Bombyx mori: one gene and its partner. The protein of the gene in region 1 purifies or fractionates together with the protein of each later gene. This does not show direct contact. Links are inferred from orthologs where the notes say so. Each region holds a gene or a part of one and is shown on either strand. Other genes may lie near its edges.

Evidence for each region.
Region 2: the proteins of protein mahjong (region 1) and COP9 signalosome complex subunit 8 purify together in Homo sapiens (affinity purification with mass spectrometry; 4 studies listed by BioGRID and IntAct, counting the BioPlex papers as one, with this or other methods). This does not show direct contact. The link is inferred for Bombyx mori from reciprocal best matches to the Homo sapiens genes DCAF1 and COPS8.

Annotation. Positions count from the first base shown.
Region 1 is NC_085130.1:15,862,159-15,865,989, forward strand, and holds part of protein mahjong, read right to left. Parts: intron 2,600-3,831; coding exon 2,480-2,599; intron 1,285-2,479; coding exon 1,193-1,284; intron 91-1,192; exon of another isoform or gene 1-90. UniProt on the Homo sapiens protein: Acts both as a substrate recognition component of E3 ubiquitin-protein ligase complexes and as an atypical serine/threonine-protein kinase, playing key roles in various processes such as cell cycle, telomerase regulation and histone modification.
Region 2 is NC_085110.1:11,099,514-11,103,987, forward strand, and holds the start of COP9 signalosome complex subunit 8, read right to left. Parts: upstream 2,946-4,474; 5' UTR 2,902-2,945; exon of another isoform or gene 2,204-2,901; 5' UTR 2,086-2,203; coding exon 2,032-2,085; intron 1,958-2,031; coding exon 1,887-1,957; intron 1,141-1,886; coding exon 959-1,140; intron 134-958; coding exon 1-133. UniProt on the Homo sapiens protein: Component of the COP9 signalosome complex (CSN), a complex involved in various cellular and developmental processes.

The DNA of each region.
Region 1 (3,831 bases):
TTTTGAAATACAATGCTAAAAAAAAATACATCGCAACTTTAGAATTGAAATGGCTTAATTAAAAATCTTAAAGAAAAAATTAGTTTTATATTTTTTAATGACTTATAAACTATACCATTAGGTAAAAAAAAAAAAAAACAAAATGTGTGCAATTCACACGTGGTAGAAGTGAAACCTTCCAAAATTAAAATACAATTATCCTAAACGTCTTAAGTATATGTAAAATTTTGTCATTAGTAAATAATTGTAAGGTAGCGCCCTCTGTGAATTGATATTTTAATTTCACGTATAATCCTAAATTAAAATTCACTACAAGAGCTTTCATACAGACGTTAGTATTAAAAAATCTCACAGATGGCGCTGTATTAAATAGTATGTATATTTCTGTCTCATTCTTTGCTGGTTTCATCCTACACATTTTTGTATTTGTGTCTCTTGCCTGTCGTTTTTTCCGTTGCATCCGGTTTGAAATCACAACGATTCTAAAGAAGTTTTCACTTCAAAAATTTAAAAATTCGAAATTAAATTTAAATTTTAGCCCAGAAAAGGACAAAGTACACTCTTTCTTGTATCTCTGTTCTCGTTTCTTTTAAATCAACCGCATGCCATTGGGTGTTATCTATGTTTAGCCGATCACTGGTCTAGGTGGTTGTGAGGTGACCACATTAACAATAGACTTGTGATTCGAGATATCCTGTCTCGTTCTCTACAAAACGTATTGACGTATAAGTCTGTCTCTGTCTACATCGTAGCTCAGACGGGAAATTAAGGTAGTTTTACATTTCATTAGCAATCCAATCGCCTCCGACTGCTTAAAGTGGGAACTTAAATCAAATATTAAAAAAAATTACTTCAAAACGTCGTATTCATCAAGGATTCTTTGTTTTATACAACCCGTGTAGACAACATACAGACCATCGGTAGGTGAGTGGTTACCGTCGCCCATGGACGACAGCAGAGCCAAGCCGCTGCCTACCTTTAAGTACACGATCCGCGTTAGAAGAAGGACATGTCATATGAAATCCCGAGAATGTTCAATTAAAAACTTTGCAATTGTGAACACATACCACTACACATAGAGCGAGAGCTTCCATTCCTATTCATATACAGTGCATGACTTAGCGACATGAACGTGCGGGCTCGGAGTGCGCCCCGTCCACCTGCCAACCTCAGCACCACAAGCAATACTCACAGCAGTTCGAACTCCTTCATGTTCCACAGGGCGGAGAGCGGCCTCCAAGGAGTGGTGGCTGACGCTAGCAACAGAAGTCCGTCTCTGCTTGTCTGTGGATGCATATGCATGGATTCATAATTATAAGCATAACTCAGCTCCTGAGAGCAACTACTTTTTTGAAGTGAAACTTCTCTAGGCCCGTTGAGAGTAACATTTAACTCGCGACAAATTCGTTACGGCTAGAGAGAAAAGATACAATTTAGGAAGAGCGAGAGTGAGAGAACAGACGCGAGCCAGGTCGTTTCTCACACATTCTGTTTACGGGCGTTGACCACTAGATGGCTTGTTATTACTTTCTCATTGTTCTTGCAGATGACATTAACATAATATCTTACATTTTATTAATAATGAAAGATTTAAAAAAAACATTTTTCCATTTAATAACATTTTAATATATAATATATTATAGATAAATAGTGAAGAGGTTGTTTTCCTTATACTCGGTGTTTCCCGAGCGCTATGACATGTCCTTCTTCAAACGAGGCTTATGGAGAGTATTAAGCGGTAGGCAGCGGCTTGGCTCTGCCCCTGGCATTGCTGAAGTCCATGGGCGACGGTAACCACTCACCATCAGGTGGGCCGTATGCCCGTCTGCCTACAAAGGGAATAAAAAAAAAAAAAAAAACTTCATCTTTAAAGTCACAAATTTATTAAAGTTCTCATCTTTCTTCTTCTTTTTCTAAACCTTATCCCGCAAGGTGGGGTCGGCACAGCGAATTTGTCTATTCCATTCTCTTCTATCAGCCGTCATCTCAACACTCACTCCTTTCTCTCTCTCTCTCTCATATCGTCATTCACACACTCCATCCATGTCTTCTTCGGTCGACCTCTTCGCCCTCTACCTCGCGTTGTCATTTCCATACATATCCTCTCTAAGCAAACCGTCTTTAATTCATTAAAAAAGTTTGTTAAAAGTTCTCATCTCTATATTCACAAATATATTAAAGCTCTCATTTCTATAAAGTCACAACTTACTGGTGGTAGGACCTCTTGTGAGTCCGCGCGGGTAGGTACCACCACCCCGTCTGTTTCTGCCGTGAAGAAGTAATGCGTTTCGGTTTGCAGGGTGGGGCAGCCGTTGTAACTATACTGAGACCTTAGAACTTATATCTCAAGGTGGGTGGCGCATTTACGTTGTACCTGTCTATGGGTTCCAGTATCCACTTAACACCAGGTGGGCTGTGAGCTCGTCCACCCATCTAAGTAATAAAAAAATAAAAAATAAAAGAATCACAAAGCACAAACCTGCATATGATAAATGTAAGATTCGTGAACTTGATAAGAGTTCTCTTCGGCCCCCGTGAACAGATTGAACACTCGGATGTCGCCCGAGGAGGTGGCCGCCAGGAGTTGCTGCTGCGTCGGCTGTACAAACGAAATTAACCTTTATTACAATAGACAGACGTATGAATATTAACTGCTCATACATTAGAAGTTCGTGCCTTTTGCCAGCGGGGTGTTTTTTTTTCTTATCTAAGCTGTTGGCCTTGAGAGACCATTTCAGCGTCGCCTTAACTAGTAGGTGAGCTCACGGGTCTCTAACCTGACGCCGTTGCTAACACGAACCCTAGCAAGAGCCGTGCTTCGCAGAATCTACCACCGGATCGGAAACGCGACCCACTGAGACCCGCTCTTACCCACAGAGGTATTAAATTGAATTTAGGGGATGGCCCTTTAAAGCGTCTGCAAAGCAATTCGGCCGACGGAAAGTGTCTGGGAGTATTGGCGACTTATTTTTAAGGATATTGCCTAAAATATACGTAAAAATCAGCTTTCAGAAAATACGTGAAGTAGGTAATGATTTTATGTACCTTGAGTATCTGATACCTGAAAATTGACCGTCTAAGCAAGCTAGCAGGTAGGCATGCATTCTTAGTACATACTAACACTACGCAATCGGCCACATTTCGTTCGTCAGAAAATACGTGACGTCTGGGGGCCATGGGATCTTACTCTATAAGTACGTATTTCATTAGAACAATTGGTACCCGCCTGCGGGATTCGAACACCGTTTCAACGCTACATACGAATGCACCGGACGTCTTATCCTTTAGGCCACGACGACTTTAAAACCGTTACACCGTTCAAATCCTTTTTTAATACGTTTTATTAGCCTCAGACGTATGTATGTAACGGAATCTTTGAACATGATTTTGACCCCCCTTCAAAACATCGGATTAACTCGAAATTTGGTATACTTATTATGGACCGATGACAAATCAATATAAAAAATTGAAAAAAAAAATATTGAAATTCAACTAAAAAAATTGTGTTAGAAAAATGATTAATGTAAAAAAAGCAAGCGTGGGGTGCATGGTTATTAGTAGTTATAAATATTTTATGAACAGATATGAGTAGAAGGGTTATTTTATAATATCCTGAAAAGCATCCCACGCTTTTTTACAATAAAATTTTTTTTTCTTACATTATTTTTAATTCAAATTTATTAAAAGTAGTAGTCCAGCAGTAGTCGAAATTCGACTATAATTAATTGAAATTATAAGTTTCAGCATTATTATGGTCCTATTGTTACAGATTTCGCCAAGACTACACTACAGACAAATACTCGTAATATTAAAGATAAACAATATTAACCT
Region 2 (4,474 bases), on another chromosome or scaffold:
AGAGTCCACCTGCGATCTTGACAGACTTGTAATGTGGCTTCCCTGCTGAGACCAATCATTGAGATCAGTTTATCTATTTTTATGGAACTGTACGATCTTCCGATAAGGTTTAGAGTCCTTTCTCGAACATTTTCTGTGAAGATGAAAAAAAATGTGATTGTATATTTTTTATTTAGATTACTTCATCAATGTGCGTCAAGACAGAAATAGAATGGATGGTGGTAAATTTTAAGCCCAAATTACAAGTAAATACTGACTGGTGATTAAAGGTCGGAAAGGACTGACGATGTTCATATAACACTCATTTCACATTGCTGGATATTCCCTCACATAATACTCATTTTCATATGTCATTGTGTAAGAAAAGTAAACCTTTTTAACATTTAGGGGAAACATTTCCTAAAAATCATTCCTTTCAGGAATTTCCCAGGTCCTGATGTAGCAAAACTAAAAATTTTTTTTTGTTTTTTTTTTTGTTGTTGTGTAGTTATGATTTTGGAACTCAGCACAGTTTAACATTTTTTTTATTACAAATATAGAAATCCCTATCAAATTAAGCCCCTTATTTATGTATCATAGTGGTATGAAGAAGTGTTTAGTACAATGGTATTTTTAAGTTTAGAATCTGATAGTCTTCATAGTATTGTCTGTTAAAATTTATTTACACTCGTACCTAATTTGACACGTCATATTTCAAAATTTCAATATTAATACTTCTTTGGTATAATGTTCTTTGTAATTTACATGTTATCTTATTCAGTTGAAACTACTTTTCCAAGATTCTTGCTTTTTAATATGGCAGATTTTTGGCATATTTTCATTCACATATGACAAGTGGCACACAAATAATACTAACAAACATTTTATAGAATAGCAAGCAAAGCAATTGATTATAAAGAAAAATCAGAAATTTCTATGAATGTATGAGTTATTCATAGCGTTTCATAAATATTGTTACCTTCCAAAGCTCTTATAATGTTGGAAACTGGTTCTGTCCAAGAGTAAGCTGCTAATGCCTCATATGTACCAGGTAAATCTTTTTTCCACAGTTTCTGTCCAATAGCCCATATTGCAACTATTTCAGGGGAGCTACTCATTACATTTTGTGGTATTCTCTTCCATAAAAATTTTGCATTACACCTGCAATTTAAAGTAACATACTCAATTTAGTGTGGATAATATTGTATATGAATCTATATACTCTACTATCAACCACTAGCTTTACCATCTTCTCTATTACCAATACTAATCAACCAATTGCCTACTAGCTATCAAGTTTTTATTTAGTGGAGTTTACTACTTTGTTAGTTATAGTGTTAGTTATACAGCTATACTAACATCTTTATATCCTTATAAATTATAAAATGTCTTAGATACTAAGGCACTACCCCTTCTTGAGTGGCCACCTCAACCACAACAGGTCCATAGTGATAATAGAATAAATTAAACTACTTTTAATTACTAATCTCACTAACTTGGTAAACAATGAGCATGAAAACTGAAGTATTTGAAACATTGGAAATAATAATAATAAACACAATATGAAACAATTAACTTAATCATAATCACATAAATACTTTATGTCATTAAAACAAAATTTTATTTTATAAATATTTTATTATTAAACAAAATAAATTGATTATAACAGGCCAAGAAACAAGATATAGTAAACTTTCACACTAGACTTCCCCGAGACTTTTAAAAGCTTTTTAAGTGTACTACTAAATAATTTGGTATTTGGTATTGGTAAATTGGTATTAACTTAGTACAGCGTTATATGCTTTGTAGGTGATAAATATATTATTTTCAAAAAATAAATGTGATTTTCCGTCCAAATAAGAATATTATGATAAGAAATTAAGTGAATGTTGCTTTAAATTACTCACAGATCATTTTGATACAAATAAATAGCTAATAGCTGAGCGTAAGTCGAGGGACTGGCTATTCCATTTGGTGTCTGCAATGGAATAATTTGGATTAAAATTGTTGTAGTAAAAACGGGATAAGCTTTTCTATTGAAATACTTATTACCTCAAGTTCTTGCCTTTCCAAATCAGCACAAAGTTTATCGAAATTCGTAATCATTTTGTCTCTATTACTATCATGCAACACTAGAATTAATACGAATTGATATTTTAATAATGCACCAGTTAAGAAGTCCTAATAGAAAATTGTTGAAAATTGTAAACTTCTTGTTGCCACTCTAGAAGTAGAACATGATAAACATTAACCACAGAGGCTAATAATAAAATTAGAGATACAATACTATTCAATAACCTCACAAATTCCAAAAAACCAAGAGGTACCAAAAATACAAACAAAAGTTTGTGGGGCCATAGCTTCAAGCTTGTCTTTAACTAATCTACGTTTATAACATTGAAGATTGAAAAAAGTTAGATTCATTAAATGGAAGTGAATACACGACAAATATATTTACTTTACTTATTATTAAATTAAAAAGCGGTCTTTTAATATTTGCGTAAGATATTTGTGCATCTTAAGTGATGATAAGTGTGAGAAAATTAAACAGTCACTGGATGTGACTTCTTGGGCTCTTGCCCAAACACCAGTGAAGACTCACTAAAATTCTAAGATTTGGATGAAGAAGATAGAGGAGATCTTAGATTTTTAATTATATTACAAATAGGAGGAGATTATTTTATTTCATCTCCTCTCATATTGTATTAATTTATTTTATTGACTATTCAACTCATTACCATCGGTAATGGTTACAATTTCAAATAAATGAACTTTATTTCCGTCTGATGTATTTTTCTTGTTACAAAGTATGTATGCATTTAAATTTTAATTATTGAATTGATTTTAATGATTGATTGTCTGATGTATTTTATTTAAACTCGATACTTTTGGAATAGGATCGTAGAAAACCAATTGCCATACTGAAAAATTATTTAGAAGAGCTCTAGTTTTTTACACGCCATTTTAAAAGAATCTGTCAAGTGTCAACTTGGCAGATATGGTTTTGCTTTTCTAAAACAGGAAAAATGAAAGAAACAGAAATGATATCATACAGTCTATTTTATCCAATTGCAACTGTTTGTTGTACTATGAAAAGTAATAAACAGGTGTTAAACAGTTTATACGAGTAAGGCCCATTAATAGATGGTTTAACCTGAAAAAAGACTAAATTAACAGTTACTTTACAATTCACCTCCCGCGTTCTCTATTGGAAGACTAGCCATAAATACGTTTACAATAAAAAAATATATATATATTTGAACCAATTTTCGCATGTCAACGTTAATTTTTTCTTTGATGAATGGGAACAAAGTAGTGAAGAAAATAATCCAAATACATCCTCTCCGAAAGCAAAAAAAATATATCTAGAGAAATGAAACGACTCAGCTTCCAGAAGCATGTTGCTTAATTAAAAATATGACATAAATTTTGAATCTTAAAATAATGGAGGTAAATTAAAAACAACTTTCGGAATACACAAAGGGCGTGACCGAATAAAAATCGATGAGAAAAATTATAAAATTTTATTAAGGACTAGCGGCCTGCTCCGGCTCCGCTCTGGTCTTTAACAAAATTTTCAACGATATTTAATATTATAATTATGTTTTATTTTTTTAAATAAAATAACAGTTATTACGGCATAACTATAATAGTTAGTCATATGCTATCGCGACACTTTTTGTAAATAATAATGTGCTCTACAAAGTCGTAGTACATTATTTTATTCTATTAACAATAGTTTTCGCAGGGTACGCGGTGTAAATATAAATATTTTAGGTATTTTTTTTACACCTTTGGTTACATTATTGGGTTTTTAGTCAGGAACCTTATTTTTTTCAAAAATATTAAGTGTATAATCTATGTATGTCACTCAGAAATAGTGTAGCTTCCAAACAGTGGAAGAATTTTTGAAATCGGTTCAGTAGTTTCGGAGCCTATTCAATACAAACAAACAAACAAACAAATCTTTCCTCTTTATAATATTAGTATATAGAAGTATAGACAATTAATTACCAAGCTTAAACTTAGAGCTCTACAGAACCTGCTCAATTTGTCAATAGGGAAGATTATCGGAATTATCTGGTTTCAGTGATAATTTCGTGGAATGCTAGCTATTGAGGAGGGTATGAGCTAGATTTTTGGAAAAAAGTATTAGCCGTTGATTTAGGTGTATCTTCTTGAGGTTTATGATTCTTGAGAAGATGAACCATATCTATGTTCTATAAACATTCTTTCTTTCAGCAAGGGTCAGTAACGATATGTGACAACATATCGTAATCCCTTTAAGCGTGGCTGGAAAGCTTTCTCACTTTATCAGAGCAGAAGATTGGTGGTCGTTTATTTCTGATATTAAGCCGCTTGGTTATAGGTACATAGCTTTATTTTATTCTTCTGGTCAATTTTGGAGAAACGTGCTCTAGATCCCATGAAATGGTAGTTGCGAATTTTTATTTATCATTGACGACATTTCTTTATTAATTCCACAAGGAAAGTG